Linked DNA regions of Drosophila melanogaster. The protein of the gene in region 2 interacts with the protein of the main gene of each other region in a pairwise test. Each region holds a gene or a part of one and is shown on either strand. Other genes may lie near its edges.

Evidence for each region.
Region 1: the proteins of CG1407 (region 2) and PDCD-5 interact in a two-hybrid assay, tested with the Drosophila melanogaster proteins (one large-scale study listed by BioGRID).
Region 3: the proteins of CG1407 (region 2) and mirr interact in a two-hybrid assay, tested with the Drosophila melanogaster proteins (one large-scale study listed by BioGRID).
Region 4: the proteins of CG1407 (region 2) and pdm3 interact in a two-hybrid assay, tested with the Drosophila melanogaster proteins (one large-scale study listed by BioGRID).

Annotation. Positions count from the first base shown.
Region 1 is NT_037436.4:16,230,525-16,233,748, forward strand, and holds PDCD-5 (programmed cell death 5), read right to left. Parts: upstream 1,515-3,224; 5' UTR 1,379-1,514; coding exon 1,316-1,378; intron 1,065-1,315; coding exon 950-1,064; intron 893-949; coding exon 669-892; 3' UTR 557-668; downstream 1-556. Other genes in the region: Tmx3 (Thioredoxin-related transmembrane protein 3), read left to right, coding at 1-247; MED10 (mediator complex subunit 10), read left to right, coding at 1,678-1,799, 1,856-2,135; Hsc20 (heat shock protein cognate 20), read left to right, coding at 2,672-2,893, 2,946-3,058, 3,119-3,224.
Region 2 is NT_033778.4:10,028,704-10,034,573, reverse strand, and holds CG1407 (uncharacterized protein), read left to right. Parts: upstream 1-1,680; 5' UTR 1,681-2,044; coding exon 2,045-2,180; intron 2,181-2,238; coding exon 2,239-2,360; intron 2,361-2,448; coding exon 2,449-2,555; intron 2,556-2,747; coding exon 2,748-2,994; coding exon of another isoform or gene 2,995-3,066; exon of another isoform or gene 3,067-3,127; coding exon 3,128-3,290; intron 3,291-3,359; coding exon 3,360-3,489; intron 3,490-3,905; exon of another isoform or gene 3,906-4,315; coding exon 4,316-4,769; 3' UTR 4,770-5,311; downstream 5,312-5,870. Other genes in the region: CG12129 (uncharacterized protein), read right to left, coding at 1-501, 553-817, 871-970, 1,023-1,173.
Region 3 is NT_037436.4:12,691,968-12,696,658, forward strand, and holds the start of mirr (mirror), read left to right. Parts: upstream 1-1,671; 5' UTR 1,672-2,344; coding exon 2,345-2,386; intron 2,387-4,532; coding exon 4,533-4,691.
Region 4 is NT_033778.4:8,325,806-8,330,494, reverse strand, and holds the start of pdm3 (pou domain motif 3), read right to left. Parts: upstream 3,006-4,689; 5' UTR 2,488-3,005; intron 1-2,487.

The DNA.
Region 1 (3,224 bases), on a different chromosome or scaffold from region 2:
CCTAGAATCCATCCGCAACGAAAGTGCCATTGCCTATGGAGGAGATACGTACTTTGTACGTTTGAATCGGGCACTGTTCGAAGTGCGAAGAGCATTAAGGGATATGTGGCTGGGAAATCCCGTGCTGACCACTGTCATCTTCGGCCTGCCATTGGGATTCTTATCGCTCATCATGTACTCTATTTTCTGCGGCGATTGCTTGGTCACAGAAGAAGATCCCGATGAAGATCACGAGAAGAAGGAGTAAAGGGATAACTTAAAAATGAATCTAGTGAAAGCTTTTGATTGCGAGTGAATGTTAGAGAAAGTAAATAAGATGATCTCATAGTGCATTTCCGAGCAAGATCATAAAAAGCTAGGAACATACAAGAATATGAAATGATAAATCCCTATAAGAAGTCGTAGAAGACCCCACCCCTCCTCTAGACCACTTTTCTACCGCATATAAATGTAAGCCAAATCTAGTCCTATGTCAGTGTATGTCATTGCCGCTTGGCACGAACTTCCAATACGCTTTAAGATTCGCCATCTGACACAAAGAAGTCCATACGTATTTGGGCATCTAGTTTTGTTTCTCGTTTTAAGTTAGTAAAAGTAATAAACATGATTTAGCGGATGTGAGGAGCGGGCATAACTTAAATTAGATGTTGGGCGGAATTTCGGACGAATCAGCAGCCGTAATCCTCGTCGTCGTCGCTATCGATGGCCGCCCGCCGCCGATCGTATTTCACGGAGGACTTGCTCTGCGGCATCTGAGCATTGACGCTTTCGAGGATGCTGACGAACTGGGCGTCATCAAGTTTTCCACGCACCTGACCCATCTGGGCCATGCGGATGACCATGTTCTCGAACATTTGCGCCTTCTCCGGCTTGCTGACTTTGAGGGTATTAACTAAATGATATTTTATAAGTTATTAGCTAGAGATATTCAAGGTCTAGATCCACATACGTCGTGCCCTGGCCTGCTGGTCCAGAACTTGGGATAATATCGAGTGCTTCATTTCCTCCTGGGCGCGCATCTGCTCCTGCTGGGCTTGTTGCTTTTCCGCATCATTGCCGCCGCCCTAAAAATAGGAAAAAAGGAGTTAAGGTCATTGAAGGATTGCCCTTTAAAGAAACAGGTGTCCCAGTCGAGAAGGATGACTCATAGGGAAGGTGTCTATAAGAACTAACAAAGCATACCATTGCTAATGTATTCTTAACATTTTTATTATATTTTATATAGTCTAATTTGCTTTCATTCCAAGTTATGACTATTTTTGGAATTCTCTAGAGGAATCTAGCCGGTTTGGAGCCACTCAAATATTTCACTTACGAATTGCGACTGCATTTGGGACATGCGCTGCGCGCGTAAGGCATCCAAATCACTATCCGACATTCTGGGTTCTTATTCTCAGTATATTTATGGCAGTAAATTAAGTAATTATTGCTTTTTTTGCTTCTATAAAAATAAATCACGCTCTTTGTAGCAAAAAAAGTGTGCGATTGAACAGTGTGACCTTGCTATTCCTTGCTTATTCGTAAATCCGAATGCTCAAAATTGCGTTTGAGTAGCCCTGGTCATTCGGTGTTTTCTAGAAGAAGAAGAGTTGCGAAGAAAAATAAAATATTTGCCAAGGAAAACAAACATATTAACGAAATACCCACAAAATAAGGAACGAATTTGAATCGTTAAAAATGTCTGCACCGCTAGAGAACCTTGAGACCCAGCTAGAGATGTTCATCGAGAATGTTCGTCAGATCCGCATAATCGTAAGCGATTTTCAGCCACAGGGTCAAAATGTACTCAACCAGAAAATGTAAGAAAATGCTAAAATTTATTTGATCAAATGTCTATAAATATGTGCACCATTAGTAACAGCTTGGTGACCGGCCTACAAGAGATCGACAAGCTGCGCTCCCAGGTGCAGGACGTCTATGTGCCATTTGAAGTGTTTTTTGACTACATCGACCAAGACAAGAATCCTCAGCTGTACACCAAGGATTGCGTGGAGAAGGCACTGGCCAAGAACGAGGAGGTCAAGGGCAAGATCGAGGGCCTGAAGAAGTTCAAAACGAATCTGCTGCTGGAGCTGTATAAAACATTTCCCAATGAGATGAACAACTACCGCGCTTATCGCAAGGACTCCATGTAAGGACGTGCTCGAAGGACACGCGACCTGAACTTTAGATTGTAAGCCACATGTTGGAATAAATTTATACTTCTGTACATAAAACTCTGTGTTTCACTATCCATTAAGACTATATGTTGGTATACTTTCCTGCTCTTTGTCTGATATTTTCTTATGTATATATATAAAATGTTACTTATTAAAGACATTAATTTGTATATTTTTACCTTCCTTTTCTTTTTGCTTATATTGAACCTCTATCCTATTTGAACTTTATTAAATTGAATTGTTTCTATGAATAAGTTATACTATATTTAATTACTTAATTTCAATTAACAATTTTTAAGGTCTTACATTTTAAATAGACCAATGACTATTTAAACGTCATAAATGTCAATATTTAATAGTTAAATGAAATAGTTTAAAAAGTTTTAAGCTCGATAGTCGCAAAGCAGTAGCGTTGCCACCTTAGTTTCATATCAGCTGTTTTTTGTTATTATCAGCTTGTGTAATTAAAGGCTTCGATTGTGTATATCATTCAGTTAAATTTATTGTAGAAAATGAGTAGAGTTATTAATGGCTTTAAAAGTGCTGTAAAAGCTACAAATTATACACCGCTTGTTAGAAATGCAGCACAATTTAATCAATTCCAGTTGCCAGAAATACGGAAATTTTCAGTTGAATCTTCGCCGGCTTGTTGGAATTGCCAAAAGAAATCGGAATTAAAGCAGAATATGATATGTTCGGACTGTGGACACTTGCAGGATGTTAACTCAGGAATAGTTAGTACTTATCTACATTTTATTTGGCTAATTTAACTTTTAGTTTCTGTAGAATTACTTTAAACTGCTCAGCTTTCCCATTCAATTTTCTTTGGAGTCCCAGAAGTTGACAAGAAGTTTTCGCCAGTTGCAGACCATTGTGCATCCCGATAAATATAGTAATAAGTGGGTATAGTCATAAGTGATAAAATCAGGAAGGCAACGATAAAATCCCCTTGTTTACAGAACCTCACGGGAGCAAACAAACTCCTCAGACTGGAGTTCCCTCATCAACAAGGCATATAAAACGCTTTCCACGCCCATAGATCGTGGTCAGTACCTTCTTCAACTG
Region 2 (5,870 bases):
GGAGCGCGAATTCAATACGCACAGATGTACAGCCTGGCACTGGGCTACTCCGAAATCGAAGTCTCCAAAGCGCTTGAGGATCTCGCGAGCGTCAAAGCTGTTACCAGATTTATTTGCCTTATTGCGGTAGCGGTTGTTCATCACCGTCATGTGCAGTTTAATGGATTCACGTTCAATATTGTCTGTAGCGCACAGTGCTGTAGTCTGAAAGTGGGCCAGACACTGATCCGCAAACTTTTGCAGATCCGGAGACTCGATGCGGGCATACAGAATGCGAGTGGAGCTTGGATCGTCGTTCATAATCTCCAGGCCCTTAACTTTAATTTGGAAAGGTATTTTAAGGCCATCCAGTAAACGACGACATGATTCCAGATTCTTCAGGGCTTCTTGGCGTTCAATGTCATCTAGCAGCACATAGACGCCTAAGGTAAGATGAATGCAGCACTCCGGAGTGAAAAGCTCCTTATCGATGCCTGGCAACTCGGCCTCCAAAATGCATTTCTAGGAAAATTGGAAATAAGTTTTTGCACAACTAGTTTTTTTAGCTAATACCTTTAGTTCCATAAAACGCTCCTTGACTTCTCCAGAGTTTAGAGCCACGGCCAAAAAGTGTGTCGGTTTCATTTTTTTTCGTAAAGAGGCTACAAGATGGTGGATTTGTCGCAGTGCAGCGCATACTTGACTGCGTTGCTTGGCCTTGATAGTCACTTCGTTTGACCTATCGTTCGGACGCGGAACAAAGATCTCTGTACGGGTCTCTTCCTCTATGCGGCGCTTCGTAGATCCTTTCATGCCAATTAGTCCACCGTAAAATGATCTGCAAGGATATGTGTCAGAGATATCGTCAGCGGTTCTTTGTATTCAACCCACTTGGACACATGAATGGAAAGACTAAAATCGCCATTTGCTGACTCCTTAATACATTTGACAACCGCATCGTCCTCGTCATCATCATCATCACCATAAAGATCTGGACAGAAGTGGTCAATGTGGATAATTAAAAATCTACAATATCCACTTACCCGGCTCTTCGTAGGCTTTGTACTCTAGTTTATTCCGTTGGTTTTGACCATTCCACTTGTCGCCACCGAAGTCGTCGTGAACAACGTTGACTCTATAGCGCCGATTCTGGCTCATCTTTTGGACAGGAGGTGATAACACTTCGCGGCTCATGGTGATCAAAAATATTTAGGACTCTTTTATAATTACGGCGATATCCAAAATCAAATGTACTTCATTAAATGATAGACAAGCCGGGAATGACTACTATGCACTTTGGTATATTAGGAAACACTTTAAAAAATACTAGACTTGAATAAGTAATAGTGATGGCAGCTACTTATTTAAGTATTAAAAACATTTATATGGGATGAAATATTTGTTCTTAATTTCATAACAAAATGTACACGTTATTTTATACCAAACATTATATAGAGTGGGTGTACGAGGAAATCTGTCTTGGATCATGTTAGATGTTTAAATAAATTAATTGTACCATAATAAAAATCTGAGACTAAATAATTATGAAGAATTATTATATTTATATCAGAAACATATCCAAAGTCAAGCAATTATATATTGAAAACTACGCAGAATACGATGATCCAAAATGTGTTACCAATTGAAATTCTTATAATCGATAGTATCGTGTCACGGCACCCACAACACACGAACCGCCCATCCCTAAACCAATTTGAGTTTCCCCAATTTGACAGCCAAAATTTAGTTGGTTTCATCTGAAAAAGCAAATTAACTGAGAAATACTACCGAAAATGTCGCAGCGATAAGGTGAAATAGGCACCTGTCCGCCCAAAAGGGGAAGCAAGCAGCGGATAGCGTCAAAAAGCGTTTGTTAACAGCTTGCGAAGTCAGTGAATCACTAAAAGATAAAGACATTGAATTGGCCAGTGGAGCGACCGCTGGAGGAGCACCCACAATTGCAGACCCATCGATCGCCCCTAATCCGCTCCAGCTCCAGGTGGAGGTGACACCAACGCCCCGAGACACACGCGCCCTTGCCGAAGTGGTGGCCCACATAAATAGAATGGGTAACGACGATCATCGACGGCGGAAGACACCCTGCGGATTTTGTATGGCAGTCTTCAAATGGATACCAGTGCTATTTATCACCGCGGTAATAGCTTGGTCCTATTACGCTTATGTGGTGGAGCTATGCATCCGTGAGTTGTATTTACAGTCATGTAGGGGGGGGATATAACCTGATGTTTCCTTTTTCAGGCAACTCGGAGAACCGCATTGGTATGATCTTCATGCTTCTGTTCTACCACCTCTTCCTCACCCTGTTCATGTGGTCGTACTGGCGCACCATAATGACCTCCGTAGGCCGAATACCAGATCAAGTGAGTGAATCATACACCTTATCAGCTCGTGTTATTAAAAGAAAACGGAAAAGCCTACAATATTCGATTGCTTTTCTCCCGTTTTTAGTGGAGGATACCGGATGAGGAAGTGTCGCGACTTTTCCGAGCCGACAGCCCGGACACCCAGAAACGCATTCTTAACAACTTTGCGCGCGATTTGCCAGTAACGAATCGGTAAGCGTTATGTTATGTTATATCTTGTCAGTTGATTTGTATTTGTATAACTTTATCAAACAAAACCATTTTATCTAAGAAATTAAAAGTTGTCCCAATTAAGACATTTCCAAATGCATTTCTCAGCAGCAGAACAATTAGGACGGCGCATTCCGAAGCATTTTTGATAATATTTAAACCTTTGCCTTGCAGCACAATGAATGGTTCGGTGCGGTTCTGCGAAAAGTGCAAGATCATCAAGCCAGACCGAGCTCACCACTGTAGTGTGTGCAGTTGCTGCGTACTGAAGATGGATCACCACTGCCCCTGGGTAAACAACTGCGTTAACTTTTACAACTACAAGTACTTCGTGTTGTTCCTGGGCTATGCTCTTGTCTACTGCCTGTATGTGGCTTTTACCTCGCTACACGACTTTGTCGAGTTCTGGAAGGTAGGTGCAGTAAGTTTCCGATTCGTTTCTACTCTTGCTACCACCCTAAATGCCCGCTGCATGCGAAGACCTGTTAGTTAATGAATGTATTCTCTCGTTTTGCTGTAATGTTATCTAAACTGCTTGTACTTACTGATCCAAGTACGATAATAATGGTTACTCGGCACAGGGACAGCTAAATGCCAGTGGAATGGGTCGTTTTCACATCTTGTTCCTGTTCTTCATTGCCATTATGTTTGCCATTAGTTTGGTGAGTTTATTTGGCTACCACATCTACCTTGTGCTGGTGAATCGCACGACATTGGGTAAGTACCTAAAGCCTGACTTATAAATCACATGCATACCATAGCCTCTTTAATCTATCTTCCATTCAGAGTCGTTCAGGGCTCCGATCTTCCGCGTTGGCGGCCCCGATAAGAATGGTTATAACTTGGGGCGTTATGCCAATTTCTGCGAAGTATTTGGTGACGACTGGCAATACTGGTTCCTGCCCGTGTTTTCGAGGTATTTGACGATTCATTTACTACACCATTTCTACTAGTTCCACCAGAAGCTCTCTCACTCATTAGTTGTTGTTCTTGCGCACTTTTATTTAATTAGATTTGATCTAATGGCTATTTGATTTTGGTTTTTATGTTGATTTCGGCAAATTAAAGGCATGTTCCAAAATTAAAGCTTTGTAGCTAAAACCTTTAATATCCTTCAATGTGTGTTTGGTGTGCTAAGTTATTAAGAAAAACAAACGACTATTGAAGATCACAGATTTTAGATTAACTTAAAGCAATTTCTAACACGTATAATTTATGTAAACCCATAATAACTGTGTATGCTGAAAAATGAGACCGAAAAGCAATGAATCAATGTGGTCGATCTCCTTTTGTAATTTAGTTTTAAGCCAAATTCAAATTATCACTTTATTTCAATTGTGTTCGTTATTTATTTTTGTAAATAAAAAGAGACAAATTTTGCCAGCGATTTTTAGAAATAGACACTTAGATCTAACCAAAACAAGCTTAGTAACCAATTGTCCGCCCCGTAAAGTGACTAACTTAAAGTGTCCAAGTTTGAAATTCTGACGGAACTTTCTGAATTTTAAATGCTCATTAAGTTTCTTTAAAACCAAAACACTTGCCACACATGAAAAGTCGATTAAATTTTTACATTCGTATTCACACATCTGTGCAAAATTATATAACAAAAAAACCTCAAACAACAACAGCTACAACTACAATAAGCTAAACTGTAAAAAAACAAAAACAATATTTATGTTTACAACTCTCTGTTTAACGCAATACCCCAACCTTCTGCTTATTCATAATCACGGAACTAGTCGCGGTGATGGCTACAGCTATCCGACCTCCAGCGACCAGAGTCGAGTGTCCACCAGCTCTCCCACCCAGCGGTACGATGCCATGGGAGATACGACCACCAGCAGGTTAGATGGCAATCCAACAGATAAGTTGATTGGCGCTAGTCCCCTCGACACCACTAACCATCATCACAACCAATCGCCTCATCAAGTAAGAAGCACCAGCGTCCTGCCAACCCAGCTGTTGCAGATCCAGCCGCCATCTACATGCCGGGACGAGCTCAACGAGCGGCAGCAAAAGCTGGCAAACGGCCAATCATTAGACTGCAGCACGCCAGCAGCCATGTCTAGCCCGGACGAGCGTGGAGTCAATGGGGCAGCCGTATACATCGAAATGATTGGAGATCATCCGTTGACAAGCGCTGATCCTGCCAAAGGCTTCCCACGCCCGCCGAATGGCGATCTGCCAGTTTAAATAATAACGTAGAATGTATTATGTGTATGTTTTTGTACCATAGAGCCAAGTAAACTGCCAGATTTGTCAGCGTTGCGGTTCTTAGTAAGCAAATAAGTTACCTCTATGCAATTCATCAGCTGTTTAGTGTAGGCTATTTAAATGTTTAAATGGCTGGGACCATAATATAAATCACCACATATGTATAATCGACTAAGTTAACATTAGGCAATATGTCATTGGTTTCACACACGCATTTATCGAATTTTTTAATGGAAATTAGAAGAATCGAATGTGGAATTTCCTAGTAGATGAGATGGTGTTATCCTCCGAAGATTTGTACCTTGCTAATGCATTCATGAAACCAACTATCCTTGTAGATATCGAAAGATCTTCAAGACTTAAACCTAATGATAAGCAATGAGATTTCAGTACACACTATTAACACACACGGAATTCAGTAATTTCCATATGGTTTTAATTTATGTAGTTAGTAACTGTTTGCAAGTTTTTATACTTTTTCTTACTTTGTACACCTTAATGCCCAAATACATATATTATTGAACTTCTGCAAGTGACGAAATTAAATGGATTTTAAAGTATTTAAAACTTATAAAGGTTTGTTTTTAGTTTGCCAAATAAATAAACATGACAGCTTTGCTTCATCTGCACAGCACCGAATCTTCAATCAATCCATTACATACACAATAACGCACTCATTACTTATCAATTTCCCACTGATGATATAATTCACCACATATCCTTTAGCTTTGGCGATGGCAAAACATTTCCGATTCGACATATGGAAGAGGACACGGAATCTTTGCTAGGATATCACAGCGATACGCGCATCGAGTTGGAGGAGGACTTTCTGCCAGAGCCGCGATTTCAAGACTCGATTCCATAGCTAATCATGACCAGCGACAATGTAGCTACATATTACATTTAGAGATTCAGTTGTGAAGCCTCCTTACGACATACATATACTTTCAGTGTGTAAATAACAGAGGTACAGACAGTCCATCCTATAGGGACAACTAGGTTATTATGTTTAAGTTACGAATGAGTCGATAGACAATTGTAATGTATATGTATGTAAGTGATAATGCGAAAAATGTTAGG
Region 3 (4,691 bases), on a different chromosome or scaffold from region 2:
AACCACCGATTGCCAGGAACGACAAAGTAGCTTTCAAATGTGCTCAGCACTCAGATACATATGTAGCACATAGACGCCATCCCGCTCTAGCAGCTGCCGTCACTCCTCTCGAGTGGCGTTTCAATTAATTAGAAAAAGTTAAAGAAACGCCACGGCAAAAACGAGAAGCGAAGTACGAAAATACAAAAAACAAAAAACAAAAAACAAATACCTACATAATAAAATGTAAGAGCGTATGTTGTAGCAGCAAAAGCAGCGACGGCAGCTGCGGTGGCGATTTTTGTTCTTCTCGTTTTTTCTTCTGATTTTTTTTTTTTCTTTTTTTGTTGGAGCAGCGCGAAAGATGCCACCAATCCAGCCAAAGAGCCAAAGCGGTCAAGAGGGGCGGTGCAGGGGGTTGGTTGCCAAAGGGATGGGGTAATGGGGGAGGAGGGGGTTTCTGGAGGGGAACGGCCGTAGCAGCGACTGCGGCAGAGGCGGATGATAAAACATTACCCATCGCGTTTGGCCCAACCTCTTCACGAGTCTCGTCGTTCATGTTCATCAGGCTTTTCTTTTTTCATCAACGGCGAAAAGCGAGAAGCGAGCGTAAACACTTTGCTTTCATACGTCGCGACATTCGTCTTGTTGTTGTTGTTGTTGTTGCGTTGTTTATGGCAACAACTACACGTAGCAACACCCACGGCAGCAGCAGCAGCAGCAACAGCAACTGCGGCAGCAGCAGCAAGTAGCAGCGTTGCAACAGCAACAGCAGCAGCAACAACAGCAGCAACATCATCGCCGACAACAACAGCAACAACATCGCCTACAAATACATACATCGGCATTTACAACAACACGCAATAACAGCCATTTTTCTAGTTGTTAAGTTAATTTTTTCATGTTCTGCCGCTCTCGGTGTTGCTGCTGCTGCTGCTGCTTCTTGTCGCCGCTGCTGCTGCTGCTGCTGCTATGCCATCTCGCTCGCACGCCAGCAAGACGACAGCCAACGCGAGCAAGTTGCGATACTACCGCTGTCGCTGCCGCTTGGTTGCGATTCGTGGCCAACGGCGCAGCGGCTATAGCCATCCCGCTCTCGCCCGGCCGCAGCTGGCAGATACTTTATTTATGGTCACACAGGCGGTAGATACTTTTTTTGTTGCCCCCACCCCTCCACCTAACCAACTGGTTTGCTGCGTCTCGCTCGCACTTGCAGCGAGATTGGTGGCTACGTTTCGGTAGGGGGTTGAGGGGTATCTACCGTAGCATACCGATTCCGATGCCGATTCCAATCCCAATCCCCTGAGTGCCACACACAGCCGGAGCGCCAGCCCACTTATAATGATAATCATTATTGCCGTTGTTGCCGTTCGTGTTGTCGTCGTGCCGCCTCGTTTGCTACTTTTTCCAGCGCACACAGATACTTTTCGCACGCACACCAGCGCACAGATACTTGGCCGCTCTCAAAAAGAGCAAAGAGAGCGCACGCACACCAGCGAAGGTGCGAGTAAAAATTAAGGGGAGAAACCCGTTTGTGCGCTCTCTCGCTCACACATACAAACGCGGCGCGGGCTATGTATCGATGTGGTGGTGCGTGGGCCTGTTCTTGTTGTTGCGCTGCGCTGTTTTTCGATTGTCGGTTGTCGTGTAATTCCCATTTGTCGTACACTTTGTAGTTGCTCAAGAAACTCATGTTAGTCTACTTTTGACTGTTACGCAGATTGTTCGTATCGTTCGTGTCCGCCGCAGTGCCAGTGCCGCAGTGTGAATAATAGTGCTCTCTGCCCGCCGCTCGCCGTCGTTCTGCGAGCTGGATTCAAATTCAGTACCCAGATTCAGAAACAGAATCAGATTCACACCCAGATACTACTATTTGCTGCCGCCGCCTCTGGTTCATTCGTGCTTCGTTTTCGCATCCTCCGGATAGAGCTGCTCCTCCCGAATACCGATTCTACCAATTCTACAAATTTAAACGACTCACATAAACGATTCCCGTCGAGCCGCCCGTCGGATTTTACGGATTTACGGTGCCCAGTAGCGCCTGTGTTGGCCAGCTAACTCGAGTTGGCCAGCTCCTTGCAGCCGTCGGCAAGTGCAACGCAGTGCAACGAAACGAATAACAAAAAAAAATAAACACAGCCCAAAGAAAGTAAACACTGAAATAGCTCGCAAGCCGGATCCAAAATCAACATAAAAACTAGTTCGGATCAATCACAAGATCACAGATCGCACAATCACAATCACTTCACTCGGATTATAAATCTATCTAAATACACATACGTCGGTTCAGTGCGCGAGTCCATCGGTGCATCGTAACTCTAAGATTTGCTTTATAGTTTTAGTTAAAAGCAAAAATTAATATTAAATGACAGTGCACAGTAATGAAACCGGTATCTGTTTAGTAATGGTGCGTATATCAATTTGTTTTTTTTCCCCCATTTTTTATTACTTGTAAGATGGTTCAGTTAATCGCTGCATTTTAGCTTGTCTGGCATTTGGATAGTGGCAATTAGATTGAAAACCCGTTCAGCTACGAGGCAAATCAGTGCAACACATGTAGATAAAAGCAGAAACAGTGGGATTACTCTGGGTTCGAATACCTTAGCATTTTGATTTGGCAAACGGAAGACATGGATTTAAAAATAAAACAGATTGAAAATGTCAGGACCACAAGTGTGCTACATTGGGCGAACAACACGCGAAAAACCGTCTGCCAATTCGGAAAATCTCTCTTATGCATCAATGTCTCTTTGGTTGTTAACCAAGCTGGCAAGGTCACCGCACATCGTGCTCAGTCACACTTGAGTGTCCAATAGGATTTTAGCCATAATAATCCCTCAGTGGTAACACGATCCCCAGTTAATATGGTATCCCTGTTCCAAAAATTTAATCGCTTGCACTCGACACTCGAGCATATTCATATATTTTCATATATGTATGTAAAAGCAACTTGTGGCGCAAAGTCGAAAGCTGAAACGGAATATCGGAAATATTAAATGCTCTTTAAACAAACATGAATGGCTGTCACTCTACCCTCGCCATCATAATGGCTACCCGAAAATAATTTACTTTAGCCGCAAAACGACCACTTCGAGTTGAGATATTTGTTGTGTTATAGTTATAGCCTGTAGCCATAGATAGTCGATAATCATCGGCGGTTGATTCAAAGAGCCGCATTGATAAGAAATCGTACGAGTGTATTGTGGATCCATCCAGCCATCCGGCAAACACCGGGAATTAATTTTTAATCGCATAGGGCCACTTGAGTTGTCACTTGATGAAAGCACGAGACGCAACACCGAACCGAATCCCAACTGCAACAGCAACATCAGCGACAACATTGTGGCGGTATCAATCACGACCGATGATACAACATGCAGCACTGTGACCGCCGGCCTGCGATAAAAATCGTATCTTACGCCTCGGATCATTTGTAAAATGTTAAACGGGAAGAGCGGCTCCAAGCCCCGAAGCCCCGAAGCCCCGGAGCCCCTGGAGCCCCAAAGCCCACAGCCCCAAGCCTCAAGAAGTGGAGAAGTTAACCAAGGAGGCAGCGATAAACAAACCTGAAACTTGTTTTCCTTACCCCATGTCGCATGTGTGCGAATGTGTACGTTGCTCTTGTCCACTGAAGTTGTTGCAGTTGTTGCTCTTGCAGTTGTTTCAGTTGACTAAAAGTGTTGACAAAAGTGCGCGATAGGCTTATGTGCACACACAAACACACTATATACCATGCTATACCATACCATACCATACCATATAGAGGATCGATCCAGGCAGTCATTGGACAACTTACAATCAAATTGCTCTTAGGACGTTGTTGCAGCTTGTCGTTGTTGTTGCTGTTGCCGCTGTCGTCGTTGGCAGCAATCGGCTGTGTAATTTAAATCAATGTTGTCAATCGAAAACATGATTTGTTGGTAATGGCGGCCCCACTTTGAAGATCGCCGGATCGCAGGGGAAAGGGGTTTTCGGGAGTGGAGAGAGGAGAGAGCACAGTTTGTAGGGGGGGAAGAATCCATCGGTTGGGATCCCAGTTTTGTGGTTCTGAGGCTCTGCAGTTCTGAAGGGCCCGTGGACAGCCCACAACCCATCCCACTGAAGAGACGCTCTTATCGCACTGATAAGGGGCTACGTTTTTAATTAAGTTTTAGTGCCAGCTGGTAGCGCGGTACAGTAGACCGTCTATTGGGGCTTTTTATCCAGCGCAAGAAGCAGCGCCTTAATGGCCGCCATAAACTCGAGAAACGAATTGGAAAAGATCAAAGTCGGATAATCAATTTACTGAAATTAACTTCAAAGATGAAGAACATTTTTCTAAAAAAGTTTCGTTTTAGAAAGAGGCCTTAAAACATTTTATTATAAGCTATCAAGGGATTAGTAGTGCAGTACTTAAATTTATAAATTTTATTTATTATTTTATTTCAAATTTGTTTACTTATTGTACAACATATTGTTCATAATCAACTTGGACAGCTATTTTTAGTACCAAACGCTTGTTAGCTCCGTTAAGCAAATGCACTCAACGTTGTTGTCTTCCACTTAACTTGCAGAATGCCGTTTCAACTCACCTTGCCACCTCGTCGCCCAACACGCCTCCAACCAACGCTCCGCAGAGTCCGCCCTCGACGCTGCCCACGCTCGCCTGTCCCGCCGCCCAGCCGCTGAGTGCACCGGGAATCGCCGGGCCAGGACACAGTGGCATGGTGACC
Region 4 (4,689 bases), 1.7 Mb from region 2:
CTTTTCTAGTTTTTGTTTTTTTTTTTTTGTTTGCGGGGTTACGGGGGAAATTGCAATTCTCCGCTGGCTTTTGGTTGTTTTTAATGAGTGTGTGTGGTGTGTGGTGGTCGCCTCCTTGTTGATTTGTCCGCAGTCGGTTTGTTGTTTTCCCGCTTCTGGTGCCGCTGCATTTTTATGCGTTCGTCATCCGTTTGTCATAAAAAAGAAACATCCACTGCAGCAACATTTAATTTTTAATTTAATATCTAATCATTTTCCGTCGTCGTTGATTTTCTTTTTCACAGCTATATGTGCATTAAAAGCTGTCGCGATGCATTTGGCCACTAATGGGTTTTTCTAATTTGCCGAGACTGCCACTTCGAATAGTAAAAATCCTTCAGTCAATTTAATGAGATATTTCACTTTCGCAATCAAAGGAAGCCGAAATCGTAAATATTAAGTAACTAACATTCATCGTAAGTAGAAGATTACAATTTGAAGTGGAATCAAAGGCATTTGTCGGATCGCAGCCTATAAAATGCCGACGGCTTTTTCTGAGCACTTGCATTTAACTCATAGATATCACGATTTCTAAACACTGGTCTTAGCTTTAATACTTGAAGATTTGTTTATAATTAAAGAACCGAAATGTTTATAGAAACCATTTAACTGCAACAGTACTTTACTTTATTATAAAAGTCAGAGTTGGTTGTTGCATAATTCGATAGGGATTTGAAGCTATCAATTTATGTAACATAAGTTACTTAATAAACCAAATTTCAACAAACAATACAGTGCATAATGGAAAAATGTATGATATGAACTTTACAAGATCTTCAAAATCATGCGTGAAGATATCTAATGTAATTTGTGCATTGAAACCTGCGCTCAAGTACGTGGAAACCTTAAAGATAAATACCAGCTCATTGGGCCACAGTATGCACCCGCTGAATGTCATTCCAGAGTTTGGCCAATGCATCTGTGGGGGCCAGTGCAACTGCGAGCCCAGTTAATTCTCGCTAAATAATTGCCAACGATAACGAGGCGTGTGTAATGTGTAGTTGGGAGCAGGGCAATGGCAATAGCTAACTCTGCTTGGCAACGACAATGGAGCAGGCAACAAAGAGGCTAAATTCTGTATTAATTTGCAATTAATGCAGCTAATTATATTTAATTAAATGAGCGGGCCACGCTAACAATGCACTGCATAGATACGTTTTCTACTCGGATGCCGATGAGGGAAGGGCGGTGGGATCTGCGGGATCGCTGGGATCGGTTGAATCGGTGGAAACGGCGGCGGCAGCAGGGATCCAAAGTGGAGCTGAGGGGAGGGGAATCCAAGCAGAGCTTGGACAGTGGGAAAAATGTAGCGCAGGTTGGTGCGGCTTTGAAATGAAACTGATTATTACAATTGTTGTTACGCCCGCTGGCGCTGTTGTTAGTGCGAATTGTGCGCCGCTGCTGCTGTTTATTGTATCTCATAGATACGTTTAGATTATTTTTTGCAAAAATGACACTGAGCCACCGGCAAGTCAATTGTAATACGTTTTAGTAATTTTTCGTGGGGTGGCAGCAGTCGCAAGGCTCAGCACATTAAACTATTTATGTGTAGAGTTTCATTCTGATTTCGTTTTAGCGATCGTTTGATGAGCCTCATTGTTGCAAATTGCCACTGTCCACTGCCGTCGAGCCGTATTATTAGTTTGTTTGTGGCTATTTATTATATTTGGTTTTATTATTAGAACGTCGCAACTATTTTTGAGACCCTCGCCAAGTTTGCTCATGCACATGCCCCCATGCTCATGCCGGTCCAACGATAATGCTGATGTTGATAAAATTAACGTTAATTAAAGTTATTAACCGCCTGCAGCGAAATCGCATCAATTTATTGGTTTTTGCATACTACCATGTCAGGGTTGAGATTTACATAAAAACTGCATTTGGCTGTTTCGAGCAATATTCGAGTGAGTGGAGTGCGTGAGAGGCTAAAAAGGTTTGATATTTCTAACTTGATAATGATGATGAGCACTTCACTTAAATGTCTTTTTTTATTGCAGCCCCATTATTTAGCTTACCATTTTGGGTTGAGTAGCTGCCATAACGTTCAGCCATGCAGATTTTTTAAGCTTTGTAATAAGCCGGAAATTTTGAGATTTATTTAAATATTTCCGAAATTCATCCGCTAAAATGTCCAACCACTGACACACGTAAAAATTTGGCGTATGGAAATTTTATCAAATCAGAAATATATATAAAAGTTTTAAAATTACTTTTATTATGATATTACAATTAATTTTAGTAAATCAATTATATACATGTGAATATATATATATGTGAAAAAAACTGTTTCAGACTATTGGGAAGACCATTTATAATTACTTTAATACCTCTAAAATTTGGTTCCCATAAAAGATTTTAAACTGATGATAGTCAATTGCATGATATACTTCTTCAAAACATATAATATAAATTCACAAGAGCTTAAATCAAGTACTTTGAGATATTTACCGTTATTTACAGATTCGCAAGCTGTTGCCAAAATCAACGAAAGAGTTTTTATGTTCCACTAGCTTTTCCTGAATCCTGTTTTTCATTCACCTTTTAATGGTCGTTTGGTTTTGATGTGTAATTTCTTAACTCTTATCACAATTGAGCACTGTATTCAAAGTATTCATGAGTACCTATGAGTGTAGCAACGAGTATCTGACAGATGGTTATCACCCACGCACTTCAGATGAGACGATCGCAACGCGCCAAAAATTCGGAACTGAGTAGTTTCGAAACGGATTCAAAAATCGCGGAGCAACGGCTGTACAAAACACATGGGGCTCAAAAGTTGCAGTGGCAGCTGTTAAAGATGAATCGTGGGCACACGCCGAAGTTTATTTGCTTGGGTATTGTATGTTGCACTTTGGTTGTTTGTTTGTTGCACGAGTCGAGGGGCGTCCAAGATATATGTGGCCGTTCAATGCGATTCCGGTTCAGATCAGCCGTCGTACGTTCAGGCGCAGCGTCGTCCGTCGACTGAATGAACGTGTGGCGCACGAGCGGCGCTTTGGACCCCCAGCAATCGCAATCATCAGCATAAGTAGCAACAGCAAAGGAGCAGCAGCAACAACAGCAGCAACAACATCGGCAAACACGAGCAAACAAAACGAAGGCGAGGAACCCGAAGCCGCAGGCCCAGCTCAGCGGGTGCGAGCGAGAAAGCGACCGGGGTCTCTCTCACTCACTGCCTCTCGTTCTCTCTCGCTCTGGCTCTCTCTCTGTCGCTCTCTCGCCCACCCCCTAGCCCAAGCCCCACTGGCGGTGCAGCGACGCCGGCAGAGCGCCGACTGCGCAGGAGCAGCAACGGTATATATGCAATTTGCTTGGCACTGTTAAAATAAAAATAATGACGTCATTAAGCGCACAAATGAGCGGCGCTGCTGCTGCAGTCGACGTCGACAGCGCTGCCGGCGCAGACTGAGCTTATAACTGTTGTTCTGAGAAGGAGAAGTTGCACACTTGACGAAAGGCGAGCACTTAACGACGGCGAGGCAGAGATAGAAAGAGAAGGAGAGCGGTCGCGCGAGGGAGAGGGCGCGAGTGTGGGTGAGCGCTTTTGTGAGCGCATTTTGAGCATTTATTACAGCTAAACATTGCACTTTTTACACCGAACGGTGGGAGCGCATTTAGATTCTACATACATATCTTTGGAGATTTGCAAAATAATATTCAAAATCTTTAAACTGTTTGACATAATTTTAAATCCACTTGTACAAATTAACAATGCTTAATTATAATGGAAAAGTAGGAAGTCACCGCAATTTAAAAATCAATAAAATTTATTTTTATTTTTCATTTTATCGTACCAATTTAGAAACTTAATTATGATTTTCTTAATAAATGCCACAACCTCTCTCAACACACAACAACTTAGAATTTATTTTAAGCTTCAGAGGAAATTGTTGGATAAACCAAACCTGTGATATGCATCACAAGACGACTTGTCAAATGCCCCGAAATTTCACCCCAGCTCGACCCCTCGACAACTATTGCTGGGAATTAATAATTTAGGTCTCGATCCGCAGAGCAGAGCCAATGCCAAAAGCTCCAGTCACTCAGCTCGTCGGTCAAAACCCCACTCGAAGCCCAGAACCCTCTTGCTACCACTCCAGCCCTCCGTCCACCGTCCTCCAACTCCCACCCACCCACAATGTGACGTGTGCCGGGTCTAGTGAACCACACCCCTCCGCCCCTTTTGCAACGGCTCGAACCGCTTCCAGAAAACCGAAAAGTGCCAATAAATATGGAAACGTTTTGCCTTGTTCTGCCCACTCTTCCTCCCACTCTTCCACCCAATTCTCTGCCATCCCTCTCTGCCACGTCTTCTGCTCCTTCTTCGGCACTCTTTCATCTCCACTGGCAAAAACTTTACCAAATTTCAATTCAATTTATAAGAAAGGCGGTTCTCACTTTGGGTAACATAAAAAGAACGTGATAATTAGATCCAAATTACAAAAACATTAATTTCATAAAATTAAATTTTAAATTTTCACATTAGTTAAATTAGTAACTAATATATTTTATTTTTATTTTATTAATTTATAAATTGGATACTACTGATATTATTGATTGCACGTAGGTTACTATACCTTTTATTCTCCATATAATACACTGTAATAATTACGTGTACATATATTTTCTTTTTATCAACACTAACAATCA